Oryctolagus cuniculus: one gene and its partners. The protein of the gene in region 1 purifies or fractionates together with the protein of each later gene. This does not show direct contact. Links are inferred from orthologs where the notes say so. Each region holds a gene or a part of one and is shown on either strand. Other genes may lie near its edges.

Evidence for each region. Proteins that work in one complex are often made in the same cells at the same time.
Region 2: the proteins of MTX2 (region 1) and IMMT purify together in Homo sapiens (co-immunoprecipitation; 5 studies listed by BioGRID and IntAct, counting the BioPlex papers as one, with this or other methods). This does not show direct contact. The link is inferred for Oryctolagus cuniculus from reciprocal best matches to the Homo sapiens genes MTX2 and IMMT.
Region 3: the proteins of MTX2 (region 1) and CHCHD6 purify together in Homo sapiens (co-immunoprecipitation; 3 studies listed by BioGRID and IntAct, counting the BioPlex papers as one, with this or other methods). This does not show direct contact. The link is inferred for Oryctolagus cuniculus from reciprocal best matches to the Homo sapiens genes MTX2 and CHCHD6.

What each region holds. Positions count from the first base shown.
Region 1 is NC_091434.1:64,895,324-64,903,512, reverse strand, and holds part of MTX2 (metaxin-2), read left to right. Parts: intron 1-3,522; coding exon 3,523-3,599; intron 3,600-4,843; coding exon 4,844-4,936; intron 4,937-5,449; coding exon 5,450-5,488; intron 5,489-5,864; coding exon 5,865-5,990; intron 5,991-7,036; coding exon 7,037-7,113; intron 7,114-8,189. UniProt on the Homo sapiens protein: Involved in transport of proteins into the mitochondrion.
Region 2 is NC_091433.1:116,581,816-116,590,004, forward strand, and holds part of IMMT (MICOS complex subunit MIC60), read left to right. Parts: intron 1-2,376; coding exon 2,377-2,488; intron 2,489-5,285; coding exon 5,286-5,423; intron 5,424-5,764; coding exon 5,765-5,860; coding exon of another isoform or gene 5,861-5,868; intron 5,869-8,189. UniProt on the Homo sapiens protein: Component of the MICOS complex, a large protein complex of the mitochondrial inner membrane that plays crucial roles in the maintenance of crista junctions, inner membrane architecture, and formation of contact sites to the outer membrane.
Region 3 is NC_091441.1:109,713,834-109,722,022, reverse strand, and holds part of CHCHD6 (MICOS complex subunit MIC25), read right to left. Parts: intron 5,139-8,189; coding exon 5,018-5,138; intron 1,292-5,017; coding exon 1,222-1,291; intron 1-1,221. UniProt on the Homo sapiens protein: Component of the MICOS complex, a large protein complex of the mitochondrial inner membrane that plays crucial roles in the maintenance of crista junctions, inner membrane architecture, and formation of contact sites to the outer membrane.

The DNA of each region.
Region 1 (8,189 bases):
CTCTATCATTCTGCCTTTCAAATAAATCAGTACATTTTTTAAGAAGCAGAGAAGGGGCCAGCAGTGTGGTGCAGGTATCTGTACTCTGCTTCCTTTTTTTTTTTTTTTTTTTTTTTGACAGGCAGAGTGGACAGTGAGAGAGGGAGACAGAGAGAAAGGTCTTCCTTTTCCATTGGTTCACCCCCCAATGGCCACTGCAGCTGGCGCGCTGCATCTGGCGCACCGTGCTGATCCGAAGCCAGGAGCCAGGTGCTTCTCCTGCTCTCCCATGCGGGTGCAGGGCCCAAGCACTTGGGCCATCCTCCACTGCCTTCCCTGGCCACAGCAGAGAGCTGGACTGGAAGAGGAGTGACCGGGACAGAAATAGGCGCCCCAACTGGGACTAGAACCCCGGGGTGCCAGCACCGAAGGCGTAGGATTAGCCTATTGAGCCGCTGCGCTCTGCTTCCAATCCAGCTCCCTGCTGAAGTGCCTCTTGAGAAAGTAGTGGAAGATGGCCCAAGCCTTTGGTCCCTGCCACTGACATGGGAGACCAAATGGAGCTCCAGGCTCTTGGCTTTTGCAGCCATATGAAGAGTGAACTGCTGATGGAGGATCAACTGATCAATCTGTGTATCTATCTTTCCCTCTTTATCTGTCACTCTGCTTTTCAAATAAATAAATAAATAACTTACTTTAAAAAAGTTGTACTTGAGACCAGCATTGTGGCACAGGCATCGCATCTCAGAATGCTTTGGAGTGCTGGCTGCACAACATCCCATGCAGAGCCCTGCTAATGTGCCTGGGAAAGCAGAGGAAGATGGCTGAAATCCTTGGGCCTCTACCCACGTGGGAGGCCTGATGGAGTTTTGGGCTCCTGATTTCAGCCTGGCCCAACCTTGGCCATTTCAGCCATTTGGAGAGTGAACCAGCGGATGAAAGATCTCTCTCTCTCTCTCTGTCCCTTTCTCTCTCCATCACTCTGCTGTCTAAATAAATAAATCTTTAAAAAATATTAAAAATATACTTATTTTTGGGGTTATTTGTGATGTTTCAGTACAGGTATATACTGTGTAATATCTAATTAGTGTAAATGTATTTATCTCATCAAATCTTTTAAGATTTTTTTAGTATTGAGAACACCCCAAATCCCATCTTCTAAATTTTTAATAGAAAAATTTATAGTGTATTAACTCTGTTGTGCAACAGAATCCCGGAACTTCTCTTTAGCTATAATCTAGTACCCACAAATCATTTCTCAGTCTCTCCTCTTATAATATCTATACCTATAAACATAAATATATTTTAGTTTCTTGGAGGCCATTCATGACTTATTTATGTTTTGATTTTATACATAGGTTTAAAAATCTTACTGAATTCTGGTGAAATAAATTATATTGTGTTATAACTATCTTTTTCCTTCTATGTATTCAAAAAGATTTTGTATGTATACATACAAAAAGGTTGGTAGTCTAATGCTAACATTAAAATCTTTGGCAAATGAGAAATCATGTAGTTTATCTTCCTGTTTTTTAATTACTAAGTGTCACCTGGTAGATACCTATCTTCTTTTTATAGTATGAAAAATAAACTTAAGTCTTACACACACATAAACAGCATTCATTCAAAGGAGTCTTTGATAGCTATATGAAAATATCTCTTTCTACTAAGATACTTAAATGTCATCATTTTTTGAATTAGTATGCCTTTTATTATTATTTGGGATGATCAGGGACATTTTTAAAATTTTATTTGCTTGTCTTATGTTTTGTGGTAGATTTTTAAAGTAGAAAGCTTGGAACAGTCAGAAGACCACTTGGCTAAGAGATAGAGCTTTAATCCTTCTCTTTGACACATACTATTTCCTTGGTAAATTCTTTTTCTTTTCCCTGCGTCTCAATGACTTCATCTGTTTGTAAATTGACGTTGTTGGATCAGATGACAACTAAGGTTCTTTCCATTTTGAACATTCTCTAAGATACAAACTTACTCTCATTTTCTTTGGAAAGAAAAGTTCTAAATGATAATTTTGACTAAAAGGAAAATACTTGTTTGTTTTTAATGACCTCTGATTGGTGCCAGAGAATAACTGCCTCTGCTTTGGCCTGATACCTGCAGTATTAAGGCCGTGATATTGGCTCCATTTTGAATCAGGCTAGTGACAGAAACCATTATTCACTTCTAATTTATAGCCTTGATTTTTTATATATCTCTTTATATATGAGTACTTAGTTGGTTACTTATAGTGCTTCTGTGCTTCAAAATCTTTTTAAAAATAATTGAATATTTTTCACAAGAACCTGAAACTGGTTACAGAAAAGGAGAAATACACTGTGTTCAAACATTGTCATACGTCCTAATACCCTTGAATTGCAGGCACTCATTTTTTTTAACTTCATGGGACCTGTACTAACTCTAGTAGTATAGTAGTTACAAAGACTTTAAATCAAACGGAAAACAATATGGCCCACTGCTTACTCAGTTAAATTATTTTCTTTCTTCTAAGATCTATAAAGCAGTAGTAGGAAGGAATGCAGAATTGCTAACAAGGAAAAGTCTTCTAAATACATCTGTTGAGTTGTTGTGTTCCAAAAGGGTGGTCTTTCCTGTGTAATGCATGTTATCCTATGGTTGCAGATGAAGCTTTTGTTGGTGCTGTGCACCTCATCCATTACCCGGAGGCTGACTGTGCCAGAGAGGAGAGAATCTATTGAAATGGAGCAGGAAGAAGCCTGCTGATAGTGTGAACTCTATTTGAACTAGGACTGACAGGAAGTTTTAACCTTTAGCATTTGGAGTAGACCTTGTGTTTTGGAGATTGTTTTTGTTTTCTTCTTCTCTGATAATTGCATCAAGCACTCGTATTTATTAAAATGAAATATTCCTTTTTAGTGTGGCATTACTTAAAGAAGCCAGTTTTTATAATCATACTGCTTGTTCCTTTTTCCCTCATGTATTGGAAGCGTACTTTGTGTTATAACTTATAACCTAGTATACCACCAAAGATTGTTAATTTTTTTATTCTTAATATTTTGAGTCAAGAGCATTTGTTTTGAAGCATTCTGTGCTTAAAATGTTGAGCTCAGGGACATCAGAGATAGAAAATTAGAAAATGTAGAAAGAAGGTTTCTTGGATACAATTTACAATATAGATGGATCCATTGTACTGTACTCTGATGAGAAAGACCAGTTAAATTTCTTTCAAACTTATCAATGATCATAAACCAGTGTCCTAGCTTGGTTCATGTAATTTGGATAATCTGTGTTTATTGCTATGACTTCTTAGTGTTAGCTCTGAAAAGGGAATTATTATATATTCTTGAATTCTATAAATGAATCGACTGTTCTTTTTTCTTTTGTTTTAAAATTAGTTAGTTATCAGTTTTTTAAATTTAGATTTTAACACACATCTGTCTCTAATTTCTAAAGGTTATAGTTTTATGAAATCTTTCTATTAATAAACATTTCTGAGTTTTGTGTTAGTTTCTTAACACAAACTTCAATTTATTGAAAATATTTTTGTACATTTTTTTCCCTTAACAGGTAAAGTACCTTTTATTCATGTGGGAAATCAAGTAGTGTCAGAACTTGGTCCAATAGTCCAGTTCGTTAAAGCCAAGGTAATAAAGATATTAAATGTGTTTGATCACATTTACTCTTGAATAAGTCATCCATCATTCTTTAGTATGTCTTAACATTTACATTGATTTTTAACATAGTTATATAAAATGCCAATACAAAACAGTGGAAAATATAAGTTGGTGTTTTTTCATAATGTAGGTCAATGGCAAAAAAGGTAGTTTGGTCTTTACAAAATGGTAGCTTTCTAACTTACGCTTATGAAAATTCTGGTCATAAATGAAACTGTTTAGATTGTTAAATTATCTGGTTGATCTTTGAGAAGGGAGATATAACATAGGTTTAGAAGTTGAATTTATTAATTTATTCATTTGATGATTCCATCATTAATTTACTTTATAGTTATGAAGGAGTATTAACATTTACATTAACATTTTGAGGAATAACCTTCTAGACTTTTTTTTCACATTCAGAAAAACATCATAATATTGTGTTATTTTGTAACCTGCCTTTTAAAATTGCTGATATGTTTAGAAATTCTTTCATGTTAATGGCTATTAATATATAGGAATATATCATCTTTTTGAATTGTGTAGTATTCTGTTGTGTTTGAAGCATTGTTATTTTATTTGTTGTAAGTTTTTACTGCTAGGTGTTTAGATTGTGGCCAATTTTTTTTGCTATAATAGCATGCTAAGATAAATTTCCTTGTGTATATATACCTTTGTACACTTGTCCATCTCCTTAGGATAACTTCCTAAAAGTGATCTTGGATGTCATGGCGTGTGCATTTTAACAATCTTACAAACAAATTGCCAGCTTCAACTAAAACTTTTACCATTTCATGTATCTACTTATTACTAAAGTGTATTAGAATTTTGAAATTAATAGCTATTTTCTTCTCTTTTACTAACATTTTTTCATCTTTGACCACTTTATAAGCAGCACATGTCAATCTTCCAACATTCTTTTTATTACTAAGATTAATCTCTTTAAAAAAAAAATCACAGTTTTACTGACCATTCTGTTTTCTTTTGTGAAATAGTTGATGTGATTTTGTTTGTTGGAAGATACATTGTACAAAGACAAATAAAAACTACTCACTAATATTTGATAGTGATAGAATATTAGGCCTACCTTTATATAAATTAATTTTCTTTTATGTGGCATTTTGGAAATTAACCCATTGGATATGTTCATGTTATGTTACTTGTTAGTAAGGTGACTGAAAGTTTTTGTATCTTTAATATAATATTCTCTTACATTTTTAAAAAATTCCCTTTAGGGTCATTCTCTTAGTGATGGGCTGGATGAAGTCCAAAAAGCAGAAATGAAAGCTTACATGGAATTAGTCAACAATATGCTGTTGACTGCAGAGGTACAATACATGATATAGAGGTTGAAAGAATCTATAACCTTTTATAATCTATACTATCTCATAAAATACAGTTTTTCTCATGGGTTATTTTAAAAGTTATAGAGAAATGGAAAACAATTAAATGGTTCTAGGACTGAGGTGGTTATCCAGATTATTTGATCATTATCTTTGAATATGTTATCTCATATATTTAGTTATAGTTTTTCTGTTTGAAAGAAAAGTGGTGATTTTTACCAACTTATTATTTTACTTTGGCCTTATGACATTTACCTGAATATTGTCTATAAAATACTTTAATGATATGTAGAGATGGATTGTGTGAATAAGAAATATTTTTATATAGTACCATCATTAAATTTAATAACTCTACAGAATATTAACTAAGGAAAAAACTTCTTTACTATGTGACTTACAAAGTTGACTTATAAAAATTTAGTGGGGTAAGAAATAACTTTATTTATTCTTGTTCTTTTTGGTATTCTAAAGTTTTAGTGACTGTTCTTTTGTTCCTAGTTGTATCTTCAGTGGTGTGATGAAGCTACAGTAGGGGAGGTGAGTGGTTCTGTAGCATTTATCTTAATTAAAATTTAATGAGAAAACACTTTTGCTCAGAATTGCAAGTCCCTGCTCATAAATGAAACATTGTGGTTTATACCATTAGTGATATAGTTTTTCACTTACCTTAATTTTGCTTGCACATACATTTTAAGGAAGCTATGTGTCATTGTTTGATATAACTGGTTGCAAAGTACATAAAAGTTTATATATTTTTAAAGGGAATGGTTTAAATTTTAATTGTTTGGGTTGTAAACTACATTTTTTTTGAGAGCACTCTGTTTTCTGAAAATGTTTATTTTAGAATTCAGTTTGTAAAAACTGCATTATTATTAGGAAGGATCATGTTATTAACAAAATCTTTTTGCTTTAGATCACCCATGCTAGGTATGGATCTCCTTACCCTTGGCCTCTGAATCATATCTTGGCCTATCAGAAACAGTGGGAAATCAAACGCAAGATGAAAGCTATTGGATGGGGTAACAAGACTCTGGACCAGGTCAGTTTAGGTTGAGTTAACAAACCCCTCAAGTTTTCTGCATTAAAATTTCCTGCTTTTTGTTGATACAGCTTTACAAAATCTTAACATAATATAAAATTGGTAAAAATATAATTTTCTCTTACTTGAAGTAGTTTTGTTTTATAAAAATTACATGTGCTTATTGTAAAACAAGTCATATAATGTAGAAAACTATAGAAAAAGAAATAAAGATTGAAATTCCACCGCCCAGAAATTGCTGCTCTTAAATTCTTTGGTGAATAGTCATCTCAGTGTCCCTGTAGAACATTTTCTTAAATGGACCATATTAGTTCTGCTGAGGTAACCTGGATTTTTTTCCATTGAATGATACGTTGTGATCTTTTATGTCAATAAATATAGATCTGTAGCATCAGGGTTTTAAAAGAAAACTATATTAAATACAATATAGTACTTAATATATCTATTTTTCTTTGGTGTTAAGTTTACTAAAGTAGTATATTTTTAAAATATACATCATGTCCAGATCATGAGTTTGAGCATCATTAAGCTAAATAAATGTTTCCTTTTCAAGGCTATCCCTAATCCTATCCAACCATTCCATTGATGTGTGCCATTGACCACAAGGGGGATTCAGGAAATGAATAGAGATGAAGTAAATAAAGTTCATGTCCACTAGTAGGAAAACAACTCAAATGGTTTTACTTGTGGTGGGTCAACAGTGTCATCTTCATGAAGCAGATTTTTTTTATATATGCAATGTCATTTGAATAAATGGATTCAGGAAAATGTTATTTTAGGGAGTAGAATTTTGAGAGAAAGACTTTCTGGACAGTAATCCTTGTAAGTAACTCAAATCTACTTGTATGTAGAAGAAATTTGCTCTCAAATTTTTGTCCTTTTTCTTATATATGTATGTCATTTACGTGGTAGTCTGATAAAAATGTAAAAAGTTAACTTAAATTTGCATTTTTGTTGTATACTGTGACATGAATTCAGTTTTATATAGTTTTTATTATTTTGCAACTTTAAGTGTGTTTTTCTTTTGGGTCCATTGCTTTCATCAGGTCTTAGAAGATGTAGACCAGTGCTGTCAAGCTCTTTCTCAAAGACTGGGAACACAACCGTATTTCTTCAATAAGCAGTAAGAAGGCTTATTTACTTATTTATTTTTTATTTTCATTTATTTATTAGGTTTCAAATTTCTCTTATCCTAAAGAAATTGCTTTTCTAAGAAATTTTTATGGAAAGATTTAGTTATTTTTAAATTCATTTTTGTACTCAATAGTTATTTAGCACCTCTTGGCTATAAGGCATGTGCTAGACTCCAAGAGACTTAAGATTTTTAAAATGTGGTCCTTGTCATTAAGAATTTCTCCAATTTGCAAGTGTCGTCTTGTAAGCCAGTCAATATGGTATATGATATGATAAAGATTCTAATGAAAGTAGTTCAAGGAACTATGTACGGAATAACAAAACCTTAACAGAATTCTAAACTGCTACTTTGTACAGACATGAAGATGCTGTTAGTGCAGCCACAGTTGTCTATGTTGGATGAGACCATGGGTGCTAGAAAAGTCAATAAAACTAAACAATAAGAAGATACTGTTGAATAGACAAGCACTGTTATGAACTTCTGTTTTAAAAGTCAATTTAAATATTTACAAAGCATTGAGTATAAAAGATATAGATTTAAATATATGTGTGTATGTAAATTGAGTAATTCATGTTTATTGACAGATTTATTTGCATTTTTAAGAAGAATCTCTAAAATAGACTCACAATGAATTTTCTTTTATTAAAAAAATTCTGGGCCGGCGCCGCGGCTCACTAGGCTAATCCTCCGCCTAGCGGCGCCGGCACACCGGGTTCTAGTCCCGGTCGGGGCGCCGGATTCTGTCCCGGTTGCCCCTCTTCCAGGCCAGCCCTCTGCTGTGGCCAGGGAGTGCAGTGGAGGATGGCCCAGGTGCTTGGGCCCTGCACCCCATGGGAGACCAGGAAAAGCACCTGGCTCCTGGCTCCTGCCATCGGATCAGCGCGGTGCGCTGGCCGCAGCGCGCCGGCCGCGGCGGCCATTGGAGGGTGAACCAACGGCAAAAGGAAGACCTTTCTCTCTGTCTCTCTCTCTCACTGTCCACTCTGCCTGTCAAAAAAATAAATAAATAAAAATAAAAAAAAAGAAAAAAAAATTCTTACATGTTAGAATTAGCTATCTATTCT
Region 2 (8,189 bases), on another chromosome or scaffold:
TTTTCAAGGCAATAAGTATTTGTGCCAAAATGAAATTATTTTCTTTAGTCAGGGGTTAAAATTACTAGCAGCTTTCTTCATTACCTGAAAAATCAAATTGGAATAGTTATCCATATCTAAATGTGAAGGCCTAAAAAAACATTGATATATTTTCCACTTTGAGTCAAATTTCAACCCCTGCACAAGATAACTAGAAAGTGAGACTTTCAAGTTTTTTTTCTTTAATTTCCCTGTTGGCTTTAGCTTCTTTTCTTTTTTAAAGATTTATTTATTTATTTGAAAGTCAGAGTTAGAGAGAGGAGAGGCAGAGAGAGAGGTCTTCCATCCGCTGGTTCATTCCCCAATTGGCTGCAATGGCCGGCCGGAGCTGTGCCTATCTGAAGCCAGGAGCCAGGAGCTTCCTCTAGGTCTCCCACGTGGGTGCAGGGGCCCAAGGACTTGGGCCATCCTCCACTGCTAACCCAGGCCACAGCAGAGAGCTGGATTGGAAGAAGAGCAGCCGGGACTGGAACCGGCGCCCATATGGGATGCCGGCACTGCAGGTGGCAGCTTTACCCGCTGTGTCGTAGTGCCAGCAGTTTATTGCTTTCATAAAATAAAACTGTGCATTTTATTTCAGAGTATCTGCTTTATTACCTGTATGATTATTTGTGTAGTAAGTGTTTTCTCAATACTTACTATGTAGACATTAAAACTTTTTTGATAGACATAGAATAAGACCTGTATGAATGGATACTAATGTTATATTCATAGATGGAACTTAATGTCAGAAAGATGTTATTTCTCTTATGTGTCTCATAAATATGTTTTTACGGTATGTGTACATAAACATACAAAGAAATAGGTAAAGAATTCTAATGACATTTTCTAGAGGGTGAGGTACCAGACCTCATGATTTTAAAGTTCATATGGCAGAATTCATGATGTACAAGACTAGCCAAGAAAATTTGGAAAAAGGATGGGAAAGGGTCAGAAAACATTTGCTTTCTACCTATTATGTTGCTTTAATCAAATCAGTTCTTGACAACAGGAATAGAAATTAGAGGAATAGCACAACTACTGGAAATAGATTTTAGAAATAGATTTTATTCATACACGTTTATTTTGAATGTGAATTGGTAGAACTGTATGTGAAATTGATCTGTTAATATCAAAAATATAGCACCTTGATCCAGCAGTTCCTTTTCCAAGAAATTATCTTGCAGATAACATACAACAGCACTTTTTATTTATTTGGATGTTCATTGATTCAGTGTTTGTGAGACAAAATAAACAACTGGAATGTTGAATGGTTGACTAAATTCTGAGATAGTCTCTTTTTTTTTTTTTTTTTTTTTTTTTTTTTTTTTTTTTTTTAAGTTTTAAGCTTTTTATTCAGTGAGAGAAATGTATAGGAGAGTGAGGGCCCTATCTAAAAGAGAGAGGGAAATCTGGGTTCATACCAAGTACCAGGAGCCAGCCATGTGGAAGAGCATGGAGGGCCAGGAAGCATGGGGTGGGTGGCCTGAGGGCCATGCGCCCCAAAGGTGCAGGACAGCAAGGCCCGCAATGCACAGGGGTGGAGGGAGAGGTTTCAGGCCGGGGCTTCCTGAGCTAGCTGGAAGGGAAAGGAGCAATGAAGAGACCATGTAAAACCACTGATGTATGCAAGTATTGCTTTGCTTGTTTCAGTGAGCCTGTGTTTCCTAATTTAGGAATGATAATGTTTTATTAAAAATAAAAGGGATATATTTCTTGTAGTTTCCTGTGGGTAAGTAGTCATCTTAGGGATATCTGAGACATGCTGCCAGGTTCTGACAAAATGTGAGACATCACAGATGGTAAATAAAATATTTCTGTTACTCCTTAACTTTCTCTGGCACATCTCTGGAAGTCTTTTATGGATAGTACCTTAAATCTAAGGCAGGTAGTAACTGGAAAAGAGAAAAGCAAGCATTACTCACAAATTGATGTGTAATTGCATGAATCCTGGAGATTAAAGAAACAAAAACTGATTTTCATTTTTACTCAGATTCTGTAGTAAACTTTGTTTCTGACACTGTAATTTGATTTAGAAAGTAAATAGAAACACCTGCTTGTTGTATTTGTAAAAGAATCTTTAAGGGGAAGGGCATATGTATACTTTATTGTTTGTCCTAAAAGAACCTTTTGTTAGTACTAAAATATGCATTAGTGATTTGGAATAGAATTTTTGAACTGCAAATTTTCTAGTAATGATGACTTTTCTTACTGTGATTAATAAAATGCTTTTGTTGTAAAGCACTCATAATTTCATATTAAAAGCCTGAAAGACTTGACCTTTGAAATATTATAAATTGTTGTGTGCTGTCTTTTAGAAACAGTATTATATGTAAATTTTTTTTTTTTCCCCTCAAGATTCAGTCTGGTCCACTAAAAATCTCCAGTGTATCAGAGGTAATGAAAGAATCTAAACAGCCCGCCTCACAACTTCAGAAACACAAAGGAGATACTCCAGCTTCAACAACAGGTACTTCTATCTAAAACCATTCTTTAAAAATTATGGGGAAATGAATTGTTTTGATGTATTTGTCAAGAGAAGGCCCCCGGGGAAGGACTCTTCTGGTCCCCAGCTCTCACAAGTCATTCTTGTGCTCAGTTTCAGAGTTGAACATAGCATTGAGCTTTATTATGAAGAACTGAGTGAGGAAACAGTATAGGTTGTCTGGCCTGAAACATATTTATCTTTTTTTCCCTCTGACTCCTAGACTTTTCGCCTCTTTGGGTTTTAAGATTTATTCTCCCCCACCCCCCACCTCTTTTATCTACCTCTTCAGCAGTTCTTTAAGTAATCAAAGTGTCTTTTTGTAGTTCCTGCAGATATATTTTATCTTTGGGTTTCCCAGTAAACCCACCCTAATTTACAACTTGCCTAACTCTAACATGTTCAACATGAATTCAGTCTCCTTGGCTTTCTCCATAGTGAAACTTGTCCTTGATTCAATCAGATGTTTGTTGGCAGATGGTTCACTTAGTGTTATGTGCAGTCTTCTAGGCACCATTGGGTATAGTAATCAACAAAATCATTTTAGAAACAAAAAACCTCTGCTAATATTTCTTGGTGGGATTAAGGGAAAGAGATCAAGTAAAATGTCAGTATGAGAAGGGGAGTATTGCAGTTTTAAATGGAGTGGGTGAGAAAAGCCTCACTTGGAAAGTGTTACTTGAGGAAAGGCTAGAAAGAGAGAAGGGAGTAAGTCATGTAAAAAGCTGGTGGGGAGGCATCCCAGGCAGAGAAGCTAGTGGAAAGAGGCTTATTCAAGTGAGAAGCAGATAACGCTGGAGTAGAGTGAGTGTGGGACGCACAGCAGCAAATCCTACCAGAGAGGGAGCAGAAGGCCTGTTGTGGCAGTCAGTACTTGAAGCAGTGCTAAGAGATTTCATTTCTGAGTGGTGTGAAGAGGTGTTGGAGGGTGCTAAGCCAGGAGGCTAATACTTGACTTGAATTTTTGTAAGATCACTCTGGCTGTTGTGAACCAAGAAGGGACTGAGGGCAGAAGCAGGGAAGCTAGTTAATGAGTTTTTAACTGAGACCTTCAATTTAAAAAAGGAAACTGCATCCATTGGTTCCTCCTCCCATTCCGTCCCTAGAATTACTTCTTTTTCTTTTCCATCAAAACTTGTCATTAAAGTTGCAAGCCCTTGATTTTTAAAACTCTCTATGAAGTGTTTCTATTAAATGACTTCTGCTCCTAATTTACTGCCATCACTGTGAACTTTTCTTCTTGTATTTGAGTGTCATCTTGTTCCTGATCAGATGTCTTCTTTCAGTATCTACTATTCTTCAGAGTAATTGAAATTATTCTTTGGTCCGGGCCAGTGCTGTGGCTCAGTGGGTTAACGCCCTGGCCTGAAGCGCTGGCATACCATATGGGCGCCGGTTCGAGTCCCGGCTGCTCCACTTCCGATCCAGCTCTCTGCTGTGGCCTGGGAAAGCCGTAGAAGATGGCCCAACTGCTTGGGCCCCTGCACCCACAAGGGAGACCCGGAAGAGGCTCCTGGCTCCTGGCTTCGGATCAGTGCAGCTCCGGCCGTTGCGGCCATCTGGGGAGTAAACCAGTGGCTCTCCTCTGTCTGTGTAACTCTGACTTTCAAATAAATAAATCTTTAATAAAAAGAACAATTACTTGTGACACATTTTAAAAAGAAATTATTCTTTGGTAAATTTTGCTTTCTTTTGTGACCCTTCTTTATTACAGACTCTTTTCCTTCATTATTCTCTTTCCATGTTACAGAAATCTGATGTCTACTTCCTACATGTTTTTTTTTTTTTAAAGATTTATTTATGGCCGGCGCCGCGGCTCACTAGCTAATCCTCCGCCTAGCGGCGCCGGCACACCAGGTTCTAGTCCCGGTTGGGGCGCCGGATTCTGTCCCGGTTGCCCCTCTTCCAGGCCAACTCTCTGCTGTGGCCAGGGAGTGCAGTGGAGGATGGCCCAGGTGCTTGGGCCCTGCACCCCATGGGAGACCAGGAAAAGCACCTGGCTCCTGGCTCCTGCCATCGGATCAGTGCAGTGCGCCGGCCGCAGCGGCCATTGGAGGGTGAACCAACGGCAAAGGAAGACCTTTCTCTCTGTCTCTCTCTCTCACTGTCCACTCTGCCTGTCAAAAAAAAAAAAAAAAAAAAAAAAAGATTTATTTATTTATTTGAAAGTCAGTTACACAGAGAGAAGAGGCAGAGAGAGAGAGAGAGAAAGAGAGGTCTTCTCATCTGCTGGTTCACTCCCCAGTTGGCTGCAACAATTGGAGCTGCGCTGATCCGAAGCCGGGAGCCAGGAGCTTCTTCTGGGTCTCCCACGGGTGCAGGGGCCCAAGGACTTGGGCCATCTTCTACCACTTTCCCAGGCCATAGCAGAGAGCTGGATGGGAAGTGGAGCAGCTGGGACTCAAACCCCAGGCCTATATGGGATGCTGGTGGCACTACAAGCGGCGGCTTTTCCCACAGTGCCGGCCCCATACTTCCTTACATGGTAAGGATTAGTACTGTTACTGGAAGTCTTGCCTGAGTGTAATGATAGTTAAAATGCAGATGAATGTTGACAAGACTTCTTTGTCTTAGTGCTTTTCCAACTATCATTCAATTTGTGTGAGTTTGTGTTTGCAGTGCATGGTGCCCCTGTTTGTATATTATTCAGATGTATGGCATTACATGCCTTTGTGTTTTTAAGGAGTCAGATGTAATGTGGGCAGTTCTAGCAGTCGATTATTACGTGTTTGCTCTATTAATCCAAAAAAATATAAATGCCACGAGTAACATATATTTATAGCACCTACAGAGGCAGCTCAAATTATTTCTGCAGCAGGTGATACGCCATCAGTCCCAGCCCCTGCAGTTCAGCATGAAGAACCAGTAAAAATTGATCGTCCTGAAATTACTGGAGGAAAACCCACACCTGTAACTTCAGGTAGTTTAATTATTTATATTTACTGTTTTATAGATAAAGGGCTCATGAGAATTACTTAATGCCTAGGCAACTCTTAGACATGATGTAAGTATACATTTCTACTGCTCTTAAGTTTTTAGACTGGTTCAAGAAATTTGTTAAAAGTCCTAATAACTCTTTGAAACCAAGAAGATTAAGAGTTGATCCCTTATGCATTTTGGAATCATTAAGAGTGATGCAGTTTTAGAATTCTCGCCAGAAAAATGCTCTGCATTGATGTAACTGACAAGTGTGAACGATGGTGTGAGCTGTGAAAATTGTGTGCTGAAATTTGATTTACTCTTATTTACTTTTGCTGCAAGAGGAAGCATCCTCATCTTCTGTAAGGGAACGCCCACCTGAAGAAGTTGCAGCTCGCCTTGCACAACAGGAAAAACAAGAACAAGTTGAGATTGAGTGTATGTAAATCCAACAGCTTCTCAAGTCCTTATCAACTCTCAGTTGCTCTCAAACCTCAGCACAAGTTTGTCGTCTGACAGTCGGGTTTCTTTTTCTTCAGTGGCATTGCTCTGTTCACCACTTTAATTTCATCCCTTGTGTTTTTCACATCCGAATTTCTTTTGTGCAGAGTACAAGGCTATTAGTATATAGTTGGTGAACATTCCAAGTAATCCATGATCTTTTTCCGTTTGTTATGGCTAGTGCTAAAGATTCTTTATGCTCTGTGGGGGGGTGTGTGTGTGTGTGTATCAGAAATTGTGTATGTTTCAGTGACTTGCCTAAGAGTCTTTTAGTTGGTAATGAATGTGTAAGTACCTCTGAAGGTCAGAACAGCTCACTTTCTGAATGAGCGCCCCTGCCTCTGGACTCGCCCTCCAGTACTGCACTTACCTGGCGGTGGTGGGAGGTGGGATCTTCTGTATGGCACTGTTTCTAGCGATAAGCAAGTATATCCCTTTTTGTTTCACTTTTATGTTAAGGCTTTTGATGGTTTTAAAAAGTAGATAGCTAAAAATGTATTTTTCCTTACTGAACAAAGCACATGGGACACAATTTATTGCACTGTGCGGCAGATATTAATGTCTGGGGAGATGTCGTGAGCTGTTGTTTTAGATTCATCTAGCAGCTATTTGCAGTTTTTGATCTTTCCTTGTTACTGTTTGTTCTGCCTTGACGGGCTCCTCCTTTGCTTCTACTGCATTGGTTCTGTCATACTCTGAGGAATCAAGATGTTAGGGTTATGTAAAAGAGTGGAAGAGACAGAATGATGAGGGGTTAGGACATGAGTTTGGCTACCTGAATTTGGGTTTTTGTCTTTTTTCATATTGTTCCGAGTTCTTGACTGTGTGACACATGATTGAGAATTGTTGAATAGTTGACTTTTAATAGGTGAAATATTTCTACATTTTCCACCTTCTTAATTTTTCCAGAATCCTCTACTGTTTCAAACTGAGTTTATTGTTTTTTGGTGTGTGTTTTTTTCTTCCTTTATACGTAAGCACCTTGAATTAAGGTATAAATATGAGATGGAAGTATCTGCTGTTTCATCTCCCTTTTTTCTTTGTCCAGTTCCTTTTGTCTTTGTGAGTGGAATGAAAGTTTCCATGATTTTGTTTGCCCCTCAGATTCCCCCAAACTTTATGTGTGCGTGTGTGTGCTTGTGCACATGTGGGTGTGTAATTTTTACCCAGGGTCAGATCACAGTGAGTAGACCTTTGAAGAGGGCTTGAAGGAGCAGGTAGCCTCTCAGCTGTCCACTTGTTGTGGCTCCTGTGAAATGGCTCACGACTGTATGCTCAGATGTCCATATTACCACAAGCCTGTTGTGGGAACCACATTACCATGTTTCCCTCTCTTGCCTCGTTATGCCGCCTGCTCTGTAGTCCACCTTCAGTCTCACATTGATTGTGTGGTTTTTCCTCATTGTTAGCTTTCTCCTCATTTCTTTGTTGCATAGGTATCACGTGTAGCACTCCAGGTTCTGTTTGTTCATCTCTAGCTTAGGCTTCTTTTTCTCAGAATCACCTTTTTTGTTGTTCCACCTAAGATACATTTTGGTCACCTCTGATATAAATTATTAAATTAGTTTTCTCATTGGCTTTCCTTAAGTGACCATTTTTTCATATTAATATGAAATAATGCCTTGCTTTACTTAAAAATTTTGTTTCAAAGTTTCTGTTTGACATTCTTGAGGCATCAGAAAAGTGATCTTAATAGGAGACAACATTGGTTTCTGCTGTTTCTGGAATCCTTTGTAGAAAAACACTGTCCATTCCAATCTGCCTTTGCTCTTTTCGTTTGCATGTTTTCTTGTTTGTCTATTCTTTTCCTTAAGGTCTTTGCTATGTACTACTTTGAAAGTAGTGCTTCTTGCTGAGGATGGAAATGCACACCTCTTTTTTCATGTGGTCTATGTAATTGTTATTTAAAATGAGAAAAACTGGTGATTATGCTGAATTTATATCTTCTATGCACCTATAACATGATTCTTCCATTTGAAATATGTTAGCTATCTTAACCAAGTTTTTCCCCTTAAACCTAAAATATTTTGTATTTTCAAAAACTTCACATATAAATAGAAGAAAAATAGTGTAATAATCCCCGATAGATCTTCATCCATTTTCCATTATTAATATTTTACCATACTGTTAGTGAAACTTTTATTTCCTAAATTTGAATACTCTGCATTTTTAAAAAACACTTTTGGGGAAATGAAATGGAGGACTCAGTAGGAGAGAAAGAAGTTGTTTAAAATAAAGACAGTTCTAAGAGGAAGGATTTGATTTT
Region 3 (8,189 bases), on another chromosome or scaffold:
TAAAATATGGCACAATCCTAAAATGGTATATTATATTGCCATTAGAAAATACATTCTTTCAGTCTAGTGGTTAAAACTAAAAGTTTAGAGTCAATGGTATAACTAATGGAAAATAATCATAATACCACATGAAAATTTCAAGATGGGAAATTATTTATGACTTTAAAAAAATAATAATCCTAAGCTCGGGGAAAGAAGATGTTAACAGTGGTTCTGTATTGAGACGAGGAGTCTACGAAATTTTTTCATTTCACATGTTTTCTCAATCTTTCACTAGCATATAGTAACATTTTATAAAAATGTTTAAAAGTACCTGAAAAAGGACAGTGGGAGAGGTTCGGGTTAAGCACTCCCTCAGAGGCCTCTTAGGATCAGGAAGGATCAGTTCTTACAAAGCGGCTCCTAATGCACCCCCATGAACAGCCCAGCGTGGCTGGCCTCCAGGAAGGGCTAACCTCCTGGCTGACACAGGGCCCCAAGCTAACTCACTGGGTCCTTTGGCCACACAGAGGCCAACTGCCTGAAGGATAATGAAAATGCCAATCGGTAACAACCACAGTTACTCGCTAATAAATTCTGTATGGGAGGCACTATACTTACGTGCTTTGTATGTGTTAACACGTGTAATCATGACAGGAACCCAGTCAAAGAAGTACTCCTCTTAGTCCTTCTCAGATACAGATTTTCCAAGGTCACCTCACTAGGAAGTTGCAGAATGAGGTTGCCAAGCTGTGCTCCACGGGACCTTCTGTGCCTCAACCACTTCTCTACAAATCCTTATGGGACAGGAAACAGGTCCTGTTTCGGAGATGTGGCTAGACCTCGGATCACCATCTGTGCTGATGGGATGTTGCCAACATCCTGGAGCCTGTTCCTCCAGACAAGTGCAGAATGGGGAGGGCTGTACCTTCTTCCTCTCCCTAAAATCCTGCCTGCCTGTGCTCACATATGCAACATCCAGCCCCCCAACTGCTTGGTCCCAAGTTTTTAAATGATTTTTAAGAACAGCAGCAATCAACACCCCATGCCCCCTTGTAGTGTGGACTCATCTTTAAACAGAACAAGTGCCAGCTATACTACTGGGATGTCCTTCAGTGCAAATGATATGAAAAGTGTGAGACAAACCCATCAGGACTACAGGCAGGGGCAGGGGTGCCTGGTGAGGAGAAAGGTTTTCAGAGAGGGCACAGCCAGCCAGGGGTGGGGGGCGCTCGCGCTTACCTCTTGAGATCCTCTTTCATTCCTGAGGACTGCTGGCCACCACTGGCCTCCGACCTCAGTGGTTTGGATTCTGAGAAGGAAAAGAAGAAAAGGCCCATCAGCAGCACCCAGGATCCCACAAAGCCATGATGTTCACACCTCCTGGATGAGCATGGTCTTGGGAGACTGGCCAAGAGAAGGACAGAGGAGTCCCCAGATGAATATGCCCCCTGGACAGACCAATGCCCCCGCGGGCAGCTGAGGAACACAGCCTTGATTCAACCAGTCTGGAACACCTGACCTGATCACCCTCAGGCCCCTCCCATCCCGAAGGGTCTCCTGCATCAGGCCACTTACAGCCGTGTGCTGGTGGCAGGCAGGGCCATGTGAGTCCGGTGCTCCAGATCCACCTCTCTTCACTCAACAATTATTTGGACTCCAGCTCATCTCAACGCAGGCCTCAGTGGCTGAGAGCCCATGTTTGCTCAGGGGACACCTCCCAGGCTAGTTTTTGGCTTGTTACCCTTAGAACTCCACTCTAGATTCCCAATCCTGAATGCAGCAAATGCCCATATTAAACCTAATGACATTTTAATCTGTTCTCACTTCTAGCATTACTGCACTCTTTAGATTATGATGCCTGGTCTACTTCCTGATCATCAGGAATTTGGGGATTTCTGAGCCAATCAAATTCATTCTCTTGGGACCAGCACTGTGACAGCCTCTGCCTGTGACGCCTGAATCCTATATGAGCACCAGTTCTAGTCCAGCTGCTCCTCTTCTAATCCAGCTCCCTGCTATGGCCCAGGAAAGCAGTGGAAGATGGCCTAAAGATTTGGGCTCCTATACCTGCGTGGGAGACCTAGAAGAAGCTCCTGTCTCTTGGCTTCAGATCGGTCCAGCTCTGGCCATTGCGGCCATTTGGGAAGTGAACCAGCATATGGAAGACCTTTCTGTCTCTTCTTCTCTCTGTCTGTAACTCGACCTCTCAAATAAATAAATCTTTTTTTTTTTTTTTTTAATTTTCGACTCTCTTTACGCCCTGGTGACAGTGAAGTCTTTGTTTCTACCTCCCTCCCCTCAGGCTCAGTCCTTCCAAAAGCACCTGCCAGCCGCAGCTCAGTGCTTTCCCGCGGCCTTGCCTGATGTCCGGCACTTCCACCGCAGGCGTCCGGAGCAGTACTGGTACAACGTGGGAGCCAGCTGTGTGAGAGAGCACGTGGGCATCTGCTCTTCCAGTCCCACAGCTGTCAAGAAACCCTTCAGGGAGGCTCCTCCAAAAGCAGTCAGCCTGTGACTGGCATCTTCAGCCCACCTCTCACCTGAGCACAGCACAGGCGGCTCAGGCACATGCCAGTTCTCAAGGTGGACTGAAAACCCGGCAGACAGTTCCTGCAGTTTTGTCTCTGCATACTCCCCACTGGATTTATTTACTTACAGCAGATGTAGTGAGCTGCACGTTATCATCTCCGTTTGTTCTTGGTAGAGAATTAGGCATGAAGCCCACTGCCTGCCTCCATGTATGAACCTGCCCACTCTCCTGGTCCCCTTAACGCTCATTATGTAACATGCACGGCTCCAGTTATTAGTGAAGCAGACAGCTTTGTCATGTTTATGGCCATCTGAGCACATTTTCTACTGAGCTGTCCTTCTTAAGGATCTTTAAGATTCTTTGTATATTAAGATTACTAGCACTTTGTCAAATGTTATATTTTCCCTAGTTTATCATTCATTCATTTTTTTCTGTTGTTTCTAATCTCACTCTTCCTACCTTTCTTCTTCGTTTAAGGTTTTTTCACTTGATGAGGTGCTCAGAAAATCTCTTATTATACTTTCACGGCTTCAGTTCTCAGATTTAAGTCTCTTAATTCCTCTAACATTTATTTGGAGGTATGGTGTGAGATAAGGATTTAAATTTAACTTCTTTTTCTAACCTTGTTCCATCACAAAAATAAAAGCAAAAACTAGTTTTACAAGTTAAAAATATCTTAAAATCAGTCAACTTCCAGACGGTGCACTTAGGCTGACTCTCCCCCAGCACTCAAACTCAAAGCTCACTCCCATCCCGTAAACTGCAAAGTCTCTGGTGAGAACTAAGACCGAATGACAAATGAACCACTATTCTTGCTTTGTATAATGCTGAGACTTAACAAAACCAAGGCAAATGCTTATTTTATCTTCCAAAGCTGAAACTGAGGTGTAACCTAGTTTGGCAATTTTCACTTTTCCCATCATTTTCTCCCTCTCAGCAGGCAATCCAGTTTATTAGAATACCCTGGGTCAAGTTATACCCCTCCTCAAACCCTCATCAGTTGGCTAGAGAGGGGTGATGATGAAGCACCCATGGTAAAGTTCTGTCACTTGTAGATCTCCAGACCCAGCTACTGATACGCTTCAAGGCGCACGGGGAGCCCTGCTGCAGGCAGCACCGGGACGGCAGTCAGAGCACCTGGCTCCTGCTCCCTGGCTCGAGGATGAAGCCAGAGCTCTCTGGCTACTGTGTGGAGGTTTCCATGGCCTGGCCCCTAAATAGCACCCCCATGTCTCTCCTTCCCTTAAACTTTACATTCAGAGCAGACCCCTGCACTGGCCTCTGGGCCCCTCCCCCTACTGTTCCCTACCTGAAATGCCCTTCTACCACATTCTATCTTTCAAAATCCTCCCTGAAGTAATGAGCCATTGCCTCCTGTGTGCTACCACCAACCCTGGGCAGCCTTGCACCATGCTACACTAACATAACCACTGGGGTACACATCTGGCCCCTGAGCCAAAGCTGTGTGTGCCACAGACAGGATACCAGCCTGCCTGTCATTATGTCTTAGCATGGAGGCACAGGACCTGGTCCATGAACAGCATTCAAGAAGTGCTAAGTGGACAGGATATAGCTGCTGCCCTCTAACCCTAACAGGGAAGATGAGGAGAGAAGACAGCTCCGCTGGGAGGCAATGCACGAGAACACTCCAGTGCACGGTTATCCACTGTGGCACAGACTTTATCCTCTAGTGGATGGCTACTCCAGACAAATGACATGGTTTTAAACCAAGTTACATGCATAGACAGATCCAGATCCCCATAGAGGGTGCTGGCTGAGCAGAAAAGCAGCAGCTCCAAGGACATTTTTGTTTCGTAGTATCTGTTTTCGTAGCTTATAGCCTCTTTTCTTAAAACGGACTTTGCTTCTTTATGTTTGCTACAAGTAGTTATTTGAGGAAAAGAACAAATTTCTTCATTTGTGATGACATAACAGGGTAGAGATTAAGTCAGCTGGAGCCTGGCTTGGGTGCCAGCTCCACAGGGGGCCAGGGAAGAGGACCCCTCCCGGAGGCCGCGAAAGGACCCCTTGACCTGTGGTTACATGAGAGTTACCGAGGTTGGCACCAAAGTCTTGAGCAAAATTCCTCCTTATTTGGCCCAATTAAAGTAAATCCCTACAGTCCTTTGACTTGAAGCCTGGCTGGATGTCCGGCTGAGGCTCTGTAGTGGTTACATTTCTTTTAAGGATCCTTAGCAGCAACTTCTTACCTGAGTTGTCAAACCCAATCCTTCTGCTCTGTTTTCACAGGTGGAGAGACTGAAACAGAGTGAGGGAAAACAGCCTGGCCCAGGTCCCGAGAGCTCTGACTGAACAGTGCTGCCTTCACTGCCCCAGACAGCGTCTGCCACGCATGGAGAGCCACACGCCCCGCAAGAGTGTTGCTGACATCACCCTGGCACGCACGTGAGCCACACGGGCCGCTCACTGTACTCTGACAAGCAGGTGACTGGTTGTACCCTCCACCCTCTTCCTCCACTCTCCCCGGGGTGCGACCCGCCCTACCTTTCTGTGGGGTGTTTGCACTGCCTCCTGGAGACCCCAACGCAGACGGCGGAGGGGCTTGCTGCTGGCCTGCTGCAGGCTGGCTGGAATCCTTCATGCGGTTAACCACATTTTCAGACAGCTGCAGGAAGGATTGAGGAATGGGAAGAGGGGGACAGGGACAAGTTACACCACAGAAACCTCCAGAAAGGCAGAGTCCCCTGCGTTCACGCCCCAGATTTCCTGAACATACTGCTTCCTCCAGACCCACTCAGAAACCTCTCCTGGTACCCAGAGCCCATCAGGCCAAAGCCAACCCTGTCAGGAATGCCGAGCCTTCCGCAGTACGTCCCGGACTGGCTCCACAGCTTCACCTCCTACCACTCCCAGACGCACGTCCTGCACTCTGCAAAGCTTGAGTTCTCATTTTCTCACCTCCTCGGGGGCCACATATGCTGTTCCCTCGGAACCACCACCAGGCCCCACTTCCCACCCTGGCACGTCAGCACCTGCCTACATCTGACTCTCCCATTTAGGGCACCCGAGCGTTCCCTTCTGCAGAGACCTTTCTCCAACAGCACCCACGTGAAGCATCGCTTTCTCCTCCCTAAACCCCCGTTATGACGTGCGTGCCTCTCAAGGCGGTGCTGCCCCTCCTGCCCTCCCTCCTGCTGGCAGCCCGCGAGGCTCCGTGGGCTAGGGCTGCCCTCACTCATCTCCGTAAACCCTCCGAATCCACACGCGGAGCAGATCATCAGGACGCTGCTAGTCTCATTGCTCCCTATGCCTTTAATGAAGACTGGATCACCAAAACTTCCATTCATTCGAGGGAAGTGAAATAGGCATCAGGGGGTCATTGAACAGTTTACTGAGATGAAACAGCAAGCTGGGGATACATCCGGAATAAAAACCCTTAAGAGTTCACTTCAGTAAATATTTATTAATTGCCTAATATGTGTAAGGCATCATAAAGCACAGTTGAGAGAAGACATTAAATATGACTTCAAGACAAAAGACATGATCAGCAATTCCAGTTCCAGATATCTAACTGAGAAGAGTACTCCCCTGTGTGCACAGAGGCATGTATAAGAAGCTCACTGTGGCACTGGGGGGGGGGGGCAGAATTGGAAACATGAGAGCATCTAACAACAGGAAATTGGCTAAAGAAATTATGGTGGTGGGGCGGGCATCGTGGCGTCGGGCATCGTGGCGTAACAGGTTAAGCAACTGCCTACAATACTGGCATCCCATATGGGCACCGGTTCAAGTCTCAGGTACTCTACTTCTGATCCAACTCTTGCTAATGTGCCTGGGAAAGCAGCAGAAGATGGCCCAAGTGCTTAGGCCCCTGCACCCACATGGGAGACTGAGAGGAAGCTCCTGGCTCCCAGCTGCAGTCTGGCCCAGCCCTGGCCATTGTGGCTATTTGGGGAATGAACCAGAGGGTGGAAAATCTCTCATTTCTCTAACTCTGCCTTTCAAATATATCTTTTAAAATAAAAGAAATTATGGTGTATATTGCCTGAACTATTTAGGAACCATCATGGAAGGGTGTATGCAACACAACTGCTGACTGTTTGAACAGTCAGAAAATCCTTTCTATATCTCAATTTTTGTAAAAAGATATGCACAAGTATAAAATCACAAACTCAGAAATATAGCTAAATGAACAATGTCTTGGCAACCTTGCCTAAAGTCAAATGATCATAGATATAGAAGTTTACTTCTGGGACGGAGCTCCTCCTGGTTGCTGGCTTCAGCTTGCCGAGCCCCAGCTGTTTGTGGCCATCTGGGGAGTGACTCAGTAGATGGAAAGTAACTTCTCTCCCTCTTGCTCTCATTCTGTCACTCAGTCTTTCAATCAGATTCATAAATCTTTTTTAAAATGTACATTTGAGTTTTTACTATTTGCCCAAACACACATACACGGATCTGCACCCAGGGGGAATATACGGGGCTACTACCAACGTGCTCAGGGGGTTACACCCTGCAAGCAGGGGCAGGAGCAAGACTTTTACTTTTGGCACTCCTGTGACTTAATTTTTTTAACATAAGTGTTTAAAGATTATGACAGTAAGAGTAAAGTCTGTCTAGTATGTAAGATATACACCAATCAGGCCGGCGCTGCAGCTCAATAGGCTAATCCTCCGCCTTGCAGCGCCGGTACCCCAGGTTCTAGTCCCGGTCGGAGCGCTGGATTCTGTCCTGGTTGCCCCTCTTCCAGGCCAGCTCTCTGCTGTGACCCGGGAGTGCAGTAGAGGATGGCCCAAGTCCTTGGGTCCTGCACCCGCATGGGAGACCAGAAGCACCTGGTTCCTGGCTTCGGATCAGCGTGATGCGCCAGCTGCAGCGCGCCGGCCGCGGCAGCCATTGGAGGGTGAACCAATGGCAAAAGGAAGACCTTTCTCTCTGTCTCTCTCTCTCTCTCACTGTCCACTCTGCCTGTCAAAGAAAAAAAAAAAAAGATATACCAATCAAATTCCTAATTAGTCACAGAACAAGTCAATGGAAGAGAATACAGAGCACAGAAGTAAACCCATAATCTACACTCAACTGACTTCCAACGAGGGTGCTAAGGTGACTCAACTGGGGAACAGAGCCTCTGCAATAAATGGCGATGGGACAAGTGACATCCCCATGCAAAACAATGAAGTGGGACCTCTACCTCACACCACGTACAAAAACTAACTCAAAATCGATCAGACACCTAAATGTAAGAGCTAAAACAATAAAACTCTCAGAAGAAAATATAAGGGCAAATCTTTACAGCCTTAGCTTTGGCAACCGACTGTTAGATATGACACTAGAAGTATTGCAACCAAAAGAAAAAACCAGATATATCGACCTCAAAATTTACAAGTTTTGTGTATCAAAGTAACTTACAAGACAACCCACAGAATGGGAAAAACAGCTGCAAACCATACATCTAATAAGTAATCTACATCTAGAACATAAAAAGAACTCCCACAACTCAATAATAAAAACAATCCAATTTAAATTTCACCAAAGAAGATACATCAATAGCCAATAAAAGCACATGAAAAGAAACTCAACATAATTAGTCATTAGAGAAATGCCACCCTGAGATACCACTTGACACCCAGCATGTGGAGAAGTCAGAACTCTGTTACACTGTCATGTAAAATAGTACAGCAGCTGGGGAAAAGTCTGGAAGTTCCTTAAAAAGTCATAC